Linked DNA regions of Canis lupus familiaris. The protein of the gene in region 1 purifies or fractionates together with the protein of each later gene. This does not show direct contact. Links are inferred from orthologs where the notes say so. Each region holds a gene or a part of one and is shown in the gene's direction. Other genes may lie near its edges.

Region 1 (3,819 bases):
CACATTATCTTTTTTTTTTTTTTTTAATTTATTTATTCATTTGAGACCCAGAGAGAGAGAGAGAGAGAGGCAGAGACACAGGCAGAGGGAGAAGCAGGCTCCATGCACCGGAAGCCCGACGTGGGATTCGATCCCGGGTCTCCAGGATCGCGCCCTGGGCCAAAGGCAGGCGCCAAACCGCTGCGCCACCCAGGGATCCCTACTGTCACACATTATCTTATAAATAACCAAATATTTGTTTACTTGGAATAGTGCCTGGCACACAGTATATGTAAACAGTTGTTAGACTGTGAAGACACAGGTGAGAGAGATGAGACAAGTTCCAGAGGCTTTTTGTTCTCTAAAGCTCCCTTTTAGGAAAGAGTTTATTATGGAAAATCTCAAGCATCGAAAGAGAAGAGAGAGGGGTGTTATGAAACGCTGTTACAGTTACAAATATTTTGCCATGTTTGCTTTCATCTTTTCCTCCCACTCTTTTTTGCTTTGTTCGCGCTGGAGGGTTTTAAAGCAAATCCCAGACCTTATTCCTCTAGCGAAGACCTGGATGAGCGTTTGTGATAGAGACGCGCAGCAGGATTCACCGCGGCTTCGGAGCCGCAGCCTGGGACTCAAGCCCTAATCCCCGCCCCTGATCCGCCTCCCCTCTGCAGGTGAACGGGCGACCCGCGCGGCTCCCAGCCCAAGTGTGCGCGGGCGTGGTCGCACGCTGGGCTGAGGGCTCCCGGGTTGTCATCGAGCGGCCCCCCACGCTGCGGGTGCTGGTGGGGCCCGAGGGTGCCGTGGCCTTACGGGCCTCTCCCGCGCTGCGAGGACGCCTCCGGGCGGCCTGCGGGGACTACAACGGAGTTGCAGCCGACGACCTGATGCTCCCAGGACGACTCCGGGGTGCCAGCCTAATCGACGTGTTCCAGGCGTGCCGGGCTCCGGGCTTCAACAACTGGTGAGGACCCTCCGTTCTCCTGCCCGGGTACCTGGCTCACATCGGCAGAGGGCGCGATCCACGTAACTCCCTGCGCCCCACGCTGCCTCGGGGCACTTGGGGGCTCACACCCTCGCTCTGGTGGTCTTCCCACAGCGCCGAGAAGCTGGTTACTCCAGCCGTGACCCAACACTTCACCGGCCGACGCCGTCCCTCTGAACGTCCCCATGGCTAGGACCTCCCGACGCACACCTGCCCTGGCGATGGGAACCCACGGACCTTCCCGAGATTGTTTGAATAAATAACTTAACGACCAAACCTGCTTGTGCCTGTATCTTCCCAGTGGCCCCCCCCCCCCCCGCGCCCCGGGGACGCAAAGTCCCAACCTCTAGTTCCCCGTCTCCCAGGGTCCGGGAGTGAGGTCGGGATCCTGGTCCCTTCCGACCCAAAATCTGACCCCAGCGCCTCGCCCCGCTCCCCCTCCGCGCAGTCGGCTCAAGGACACGGACTCCCCGCGGGGCAGGCCTGGGAACCAGCAGCCCCGCCCCTGAGCCGCAGCGTTGTGACGTAACTGCATCGACAGCCAATGGGACAACGAAGGAGGAGGCGGAAGTCTGGGAGTGCGCGGGCCGGAAGTGCCTGTTGCCGGGCTCGGCCGTTAGGCCCGGGGGCGTCGCTGGGCCGCTGCTCGCGGGGCGTCGCCTGCGGGCGCCCGCGGCCCCGCCGCTACCATGAGCCGGCCCAGCCGCCTGCAGAGGCAAGTTTTGAGCTTGTACCGCGAGCTGCTGCGCGCTGGGCGGGGGAAGCCGGGCGCCGAGGCGCGAGTGCGGGCCGAGTTCCGGCAGCACGCCTCGTTGCCACGCTCCGACGTGCTGCGGATCGAGTACCTGTACCGCCGCGGGCGGCGCCAGCTGCAGCTGCTACGCTCGGGCCACGCCAAGGCCATGGGTGCCTTCGTGCGCCCGCAGGGGCCACCCGAGGAGTCCAGCGGCGCGGGGGCCTCGGGAGCCCAGCCTGACGATGGTGGTGGTCTGAGAAGCCCCCTCGACAGCATGGGGTCACCAGAGACCCCTCCCGATGGGCGGTGACAGGCCGAGGAGCTCACCCGGTAGCACAGGGGAAGCGGGGGCCCTCCTGACTGCGTGGGGGGACCAGGGAACCCACTTGCTGGAAGGGGAGATGTCTTGAGAAGACCAGCTCGATGGATTGGGTGAATTGGAGAGCCCTCCTCGGGACGTGAGGTCCTAGAGACCCCGATGATGGATGCTGAGAGGTGCCTGACCTTGCCCGATCCATGATAACGGGTCGAACTCTCCCCGTGAGGGTTTGGGGCGGCTTGGTTGCCGGCTGGCTGAGCTGTGTCAAGCTGAGAGCTACTTAACCCTAAAGCATGGGGAACCAGGACGCCCGCCGTCAGACAGAAGACGCCCTTCTCCTGACCCCGGGCCCCCCTCTCTTGTGTTTAACTCTGAAAAGAGCAGACTTTTTGCCGAGAACTTTGAGAAGATACCCTGATGGATGGTGAGAAGCCCCGAATCCCCCTTTGGAAAACTTTCTTCCCATTAATTGAGGCAGTCTAGGACCTGGGAGGAAGGGGCTGGGGTATCTTAGCTCCTCTGATCAACTAATGACCCCTCAAGACCTGTACTCGATAGTTCTAATGGGGAACGCTGACTCCTGCACCCTTCTTCCAGGACTGTTGGACAAAAAGAATAAAATTGGGGATGTGATTACTTCCCTGTTGATGGTCTTAAAGATTTCACATGTTTGGGGATTGTTGGAAAGGGCCTCACACACCAGGAAGTGGCTCTCTGGGAGGGATAGGTGTGGAGAGCTGTCTCTTCCTCGCTGGAGCCCTCTAGACTAGAAAATTGGTTGAAGGAGCCTAGTTCTTGCTCCTGGGCAGATCCTTGGGACCTGCCTGGTTTGGGACCACCCTGGTTTGACCCCAAAGAAACCCCAGTTGACCCCCTAATAGAAGGTAGTGAGAGGGGAGAGAAAATGGTGGAGCTGAGGAGACCTGACTAGTAACCCCTGAGGCAGTACTGAGGACCTCAAACCTGGCTGAAGAGTCCAGCCTCAGATACACGCTAGGATCTTTGTTAGCAAGGCCCGGGGTGGGAGAGGAGAGATGGCCCCATAGACCCCAGGCATACCTCCTCCCCTATCCCTGTATTGATCTTCCCTAGACATTCTCTGGGATACTGCATTTTGCAGCACTGAACTGTATTTGCCACCATGTCGGTTACGTAAATGGAAAGCAGACGAATTCTTAGCAAACGCCATTGGTAAGAGGAGGGGAGCCCAGACCTCTGACCAATGAGAGGATAGACGGAAGAGAAACATGACTGCTCTAATCCCCATAGGGGAAGCAGGTGCACCAAGAGTTATGAAATGGAGTTGAAATTTGAAGAATTATAAGGAGTTTCCCAGATGGTAGGGTTAGGCTTCTAAGCAGGAGGACCAGTGTGGTCAAGGGCCTGGAGGAAAGAAAGGCAGGGTCCCAGCAGGCACCTGGAGTGCCCCCAGAGCATAGGCTGTGTGGCTTGCACACCTGGTTTCCACTACAGCTGTCTCGGCTTGCTCATCTCTCTTCAGCCTCAGTTTTTGTTTTTTTTTTCTTTTATTTATTATTTATGATAGTCACAGAGAGAGAGAGAGGCAGAGACACAGGCAGAGGGAGAAGCAGGCTCCAAGCACCGGGAGCCCGACGTGGGATTCGATCCTGGGTCTCCAGGATCGCGCCCTGGGCCAAAGGCAGGCGCCAAACCGCTGCGCCACCCAGGGATCCCAGGTTTTTTTTTTTTTTTCATCATGGTGTTCCTGTTAATCTGGGTCTGACTTCATCTCTCTCTGTCCCCCCCCTTTTTTTTTTTTAAGATTTTATTTATTAATCATAA
Region 2 (4,344 bases), on another chromosome or scaffold:
TTAAACTAAATATGTGGCAGACACTCCCCCTTCATCTTCCCGTGTGTTAATTCACCTGCAGTAGTCCCATGAGATGTAGGTACTGCTCTCTGCTTTGTGGGTGAGGAGCTGAAGCCGGGGTTTGCCAAGAACCTAGGAAGCGTCCAAGCCAGGACTCAGACCAGGCTCCCTGCCACCAGGCCTGCGCTCCAGCTTCCAAGCCAGTGCTACTGCCCTTCCTCCCACCTGCTGCACCCACGCACATGGACACTCACAGCGCTTAGGAGTGGGGGACTGTCTCTACCCCTGTAGCTTTCCTTTTCCTAGAAATGTATATGCAGTGTGACTCCGCAGTGCTTAGAATGTGTAAGGATAACATAAAAACAGAAGTACAGAAAAAAATTCTGAGTGTGCCCTGAGAAAGCCAAATGGGTTAGAAGAGCAGCTGACATATGCAGATGTCTCAGGTCTTATTACAACAAAGGGCAGGAAGATTGAACATCCCGTCAATATGACCGGAGTGTTTTGTTGTTTTTGGTCAGATGTGGTCCTATGGTGTTGGATGCTTTAATCAAGATTAAGAATGAAATTGACTCTACCTTGACCTTCCGAAGATCATGCAGAGAAGGTAAGCATTTCCTTCCTTGTTAAACTTTAGACACTTAGGCTCTGGTTCCGCGGCCGGCCTGCCTGCCACAGCTGAGCTGGCGGTCTGCCAGGAGACCAGGTGTTGCACTTCCTTTCCTTGGGTAAATGCGCCTAAAACTCCCAAGTGTAGTACAGGTTCTGTACATTTCTGAGTTTTCTTCCCATCGGGAATCATATGTAGCCTGGTTCCTGCATCTGGCGTGAGCTGCCCACCCCTCAGGCATTAACTCCCATCTGCTAGCAGGACGCAGCCCATCTCTGCACCACTGCTGAGCTCATTCACTGGGGACAGCAGTGGAGTTTCTAGTCAGTGCTTGTGCACATTAACCCTTGTCCAGCAAGGGGGCACAGGTGTGCCGCTGCCAGCTCCCAGCATTACGAGTGTACACGTATATAAAGTATCTGCTCAGTAGGAATGTTCTAGGCAGGAACAGTCTCCCCACAGTAAGAGCTGTTATGCTAGAAAAATATAATTACTAATGAAAGTCTAACAGTGATACAGTTTTTTAATATAAATTTAAATAAAGTGAGTTGATACTAAGAAAACTCATAAATAGGGCAGCCCAGTGGAGCAGTGGTTTAGTGCTGCCTTCAGCCCAGGGCATGATCCTGGAGACCTGGGATCGAGTCCCACGTCCGGCTCCCTGCCTAGAGCCTGCTTCTCCCTCTGCCTATATCTCTTCCCCTCTCTCTCTCTCTCTTTCTGTGTGTTTCTCATGAATAAATAAATAAAATCTTAAAAAAAAAAGAAAAAGAAAACTCCTAGATAATCATTTAGCAGTCCTCAGACATGGGAAAAAAATCACAGAGGATTATCACAAGGGCTGACTGGTCCTGACGGCCGTAGAGCACAGTCAGTGGACCTTAGGCCCAGGGAGGTTAAGGGACTTCCAAAAAAACACATAGGTAGTTGGGGAGCCAGGCATCAGCCAGGGTTGTCAGATTCCAGAACCGCACTCAGGCGGTATGCTCTGCTGGCCAGGCTCAGAAAACCTGGGATAAAACCAAAACAGAGAGTAGGTTGGACCCCAACCAGTGATTGAAGCTTCTTCCTAAAATGACCTTCCATAAAAGGAAAAGTCACTATGGATATTGGCCCATTGCTTTTTGTCTTTGTTCGGTACATGTCAAGTATTCCAGCCTTCCTTCTAAGACATCTGCTTTGATTCAGCTAATCATACAGGATGGGATTTAGTGTACCAAATGCTGACAGATATTATAGTAGTTTGGCTGAGTCCTGCTGTTCAGGGAACGCTCTGTGGTAATTAAATACCAACTTTCCCCACGTAAATCCTGGCAACCTAGGAAATATAGATGCTTTTCAGTAACCTTTCTCCGTAAGACTTTGTCAGAGCCAAGAACATATGATGTGGCCCATCTGGACTAAAAAGTATGAGGCAGAGTGATACTAATTGCCACTCCTTTCTCTTCCCTTATCGTTTTTTAAGAGAATTTCCTGGGGAGCCTTTTTCAGAGAAGATTCATTGGATTTATTTTTTAAATTGCATACCATTTCTTATAAAAGCATACTTCTGGTTGGATGCCAGGCACACACAAATATATGGATAGCATTCAGTCTCCTGGGGAACTTCGCGGTATTTGCTAAAAACAGGTCTCTGTGTTGTCTTACACACTTACTAAGATTAGCAGGAGAAGAGAACGCGGTCTTACCAAAGTGATAACCCAGTACAGGTTTCACAACTAATCACATTTCTCTGGTCTGATGATCTTCAAGAAAACAGCTTCAGAGAAATGGGTTCAGATTGCATATTCCTCTTTAAACTCTAAAATATCTAGGAAATTTCCATACACAGCAAATGAGCCCGGGCAAAGAAAAGTGTCATCTTCAGGGTCCTTGGTCAGCACCTAACTTTTGCTTGGTTAGCTTTGCTTTGCTTTCACATTAGTTCATTCTTCTCCCTAGAAAGACAGTGCTCGGGCAGTTTATGTGGGTTTCATGGCCCCCACTGTGCTGCTAGTTTTGATGGAGACTATAGAGTAAGAGTCATATGTGGATAATCCATATCGAGGCCTCAGCCAGAAGATGGCCAAGACTGTTGATTTGCTTTTTGGGTTCTGTCTGTCAGAGTTTGAGTAGTTTGAGTTCAAATAACAGGCAGGGCTGCCTTTTTTTTTTTTTTTTTTTTTTTTTCTTCTTTTTTTTCTTTTTCTGAAAATGCATGAAGCATGGAGCTAGGGATTGGCGTGGCAACTCTGTGATGCCAACAATGCCCCAGGCCCTTTCTGTCTTCCAGTGCCGTCTGTAGTGTGCAGATTCCAGCCTCAGGGTTGCCTCATGGCTTTTTGGAACTGGTCATTAGATCTCCATCCCAGGCAGGAAGACAGCAGTGGGGCACCTCTGCCACGGGTGTACTCCATGTCAGTGCTGCTCATGATGGTAGGGGAATGAGGGAATGACATTCCAGAAAATGAGTCTGAAGCTGGACTTCCCGAGCCTGGGTACAGAAGCGTTGAATGCCTTCTCTGTCTCAGGCATCTGTGGCTCCTGTGCCATGAACATCAACGGAGGCAACACTCTGGCTTGCACCCGCCGGATCGACACCAACCTCAGCAAAGTCTCCAAAATCTACCCTCTGCCGCATATGTATGTGATAAAGGATCTGGTTCCTGTGAGTTTCTGCCTCCCCTCCCATCCCTCCCCTGCCCCCTCTCTCTCCCATCCCCTCTCTCTCTCCTGACTCTTCCCCACCCCACCTTTTTTTATTTTCAGGGAGAAGGGAAGAGGTGTGTGTGAGGGAAAGATGTGTTATCATTCTTTAGGGCAGGCTTTTTTTCCTGAGTTTAATTGAGGAATTTGAATGGTGGAAGATAAACACACCTGGAAGATTCTCCAGCCCCTCATTGGAGAGGATTGTTTGGGACTAACAGGGACTTTAGAGTTGGAACAGTCCCAGAATCAAAAATTTGGCCATAACTACAAAGAATTCATGTGGAAAATAGCAGTGGGGAAGGCAACAATTGTTACACAGTGTACTTCCACACTGTACTTCCACAGTGTCTGCCTCCCCACTCGTGAGCGCCTTCATGGACCAGGCCTCAGGAGTGGGTAGAGGAGAGATTTCCCAGCCACAATGAACACTGACCATTTCTCCTTCTGTCACTTGCACGGATCCACGCCAAAGAGAGTCCAACTTCTGCTGCTGTGCGATGGGGAAGTGGGCAGCATCCAAGAAATGGGGTGACTGAGAATGCTAGGGAGTGATAGTAGAATCTGACCCTTCTTTTCTTCTTCTTCCCCTTACTCAGGACTTGAGCAACTTCTATGCTCAGTATAAATCCATTGAACCTTATTTGAAGAAGAAGGATGAATCCCAAGAGGGCAAGCAGCAGTATCTGCAGTCCATAGAAGATCGTGAGAAACTGGTCATTAGTCCCCTTTTACTGTCTTGCTTTGAGGAATTCTGTGCAAAGATGCTTGGGAGAAGTGTGGCTTGGGGGGGGATGGGGTGGGGGAGTAGCTGCATGGGACAATGCCGACCATTAATGGAGTGTATGCTGGAAAGGAACCACAAGAGCATCTGTCCAAGGGCTGGACAGCTGTCCTCTCAGGACCAGGGGGTAGTATGAACCCATAAGGGGCCCTCAAGGGGTCAAGGATCCAGAGCATGTCTGCCCCGCCTAGAAGGGCACATGATTACCATGTTGCAGGATGTTTGTTTGTTTCAAGAGAAACTTGTATGCAAAAGATCAGGTCTT

Evidence for each region. Proteins that work in one complex are often made in the same cells at the same time.
Region 2: the proteins of SDHAF1 (region 1) and SDHB purify together in Homo sapiens (co-immunoprecipitation; 3 studies listed by BioGRID and IntAct, with this or other methods). This does not show direct contact. The link is inferred for Canis lupus familiaris from reciprocal best matches to the Homo sapiens genes SDHAF1 and SDHB.

The regions. Positions count from the first base shown.
Region 1 is NC_049222.1:117,532,936-117,536,754, reverse strand, and holds SDHAF1 (succinate dehydrogenase assembly factor 1, mitochondrial), read left to right. Parts: upstream 1-1,556; 5' UTR 1,557-1,650; coding exon 1,651-2,007; 3' UTR 2,008-2,662; downstream 2,663-3,819. Other genes in the region: IgGFc-binding protein-like, read left to right, coding at 651-940, 1,076-1,154.
Region 2 is NC_049223.1:80,662,893-80,667,236, forward strand, and holds part of SDHB (succinate dehydrogenase [ubiquinone] iron-sulfur subunit, mitochondrial), read left to right. Parts: intron 1-521; coding exon 522-607; intron 608-3,120; coding exon 3,121-3,257; intron 3,258-3,894; coding exon 3,895-4,011; intron 4,012-4,344. UniProt on the Homo sapiens protein: Iron-sulfur protein (IP) subunit of the succinate dehydrogenase complex (mitochondrial respiratory chain complex II), responsible for transferring electrons from succinate to ubiquinone (coenzyme Q).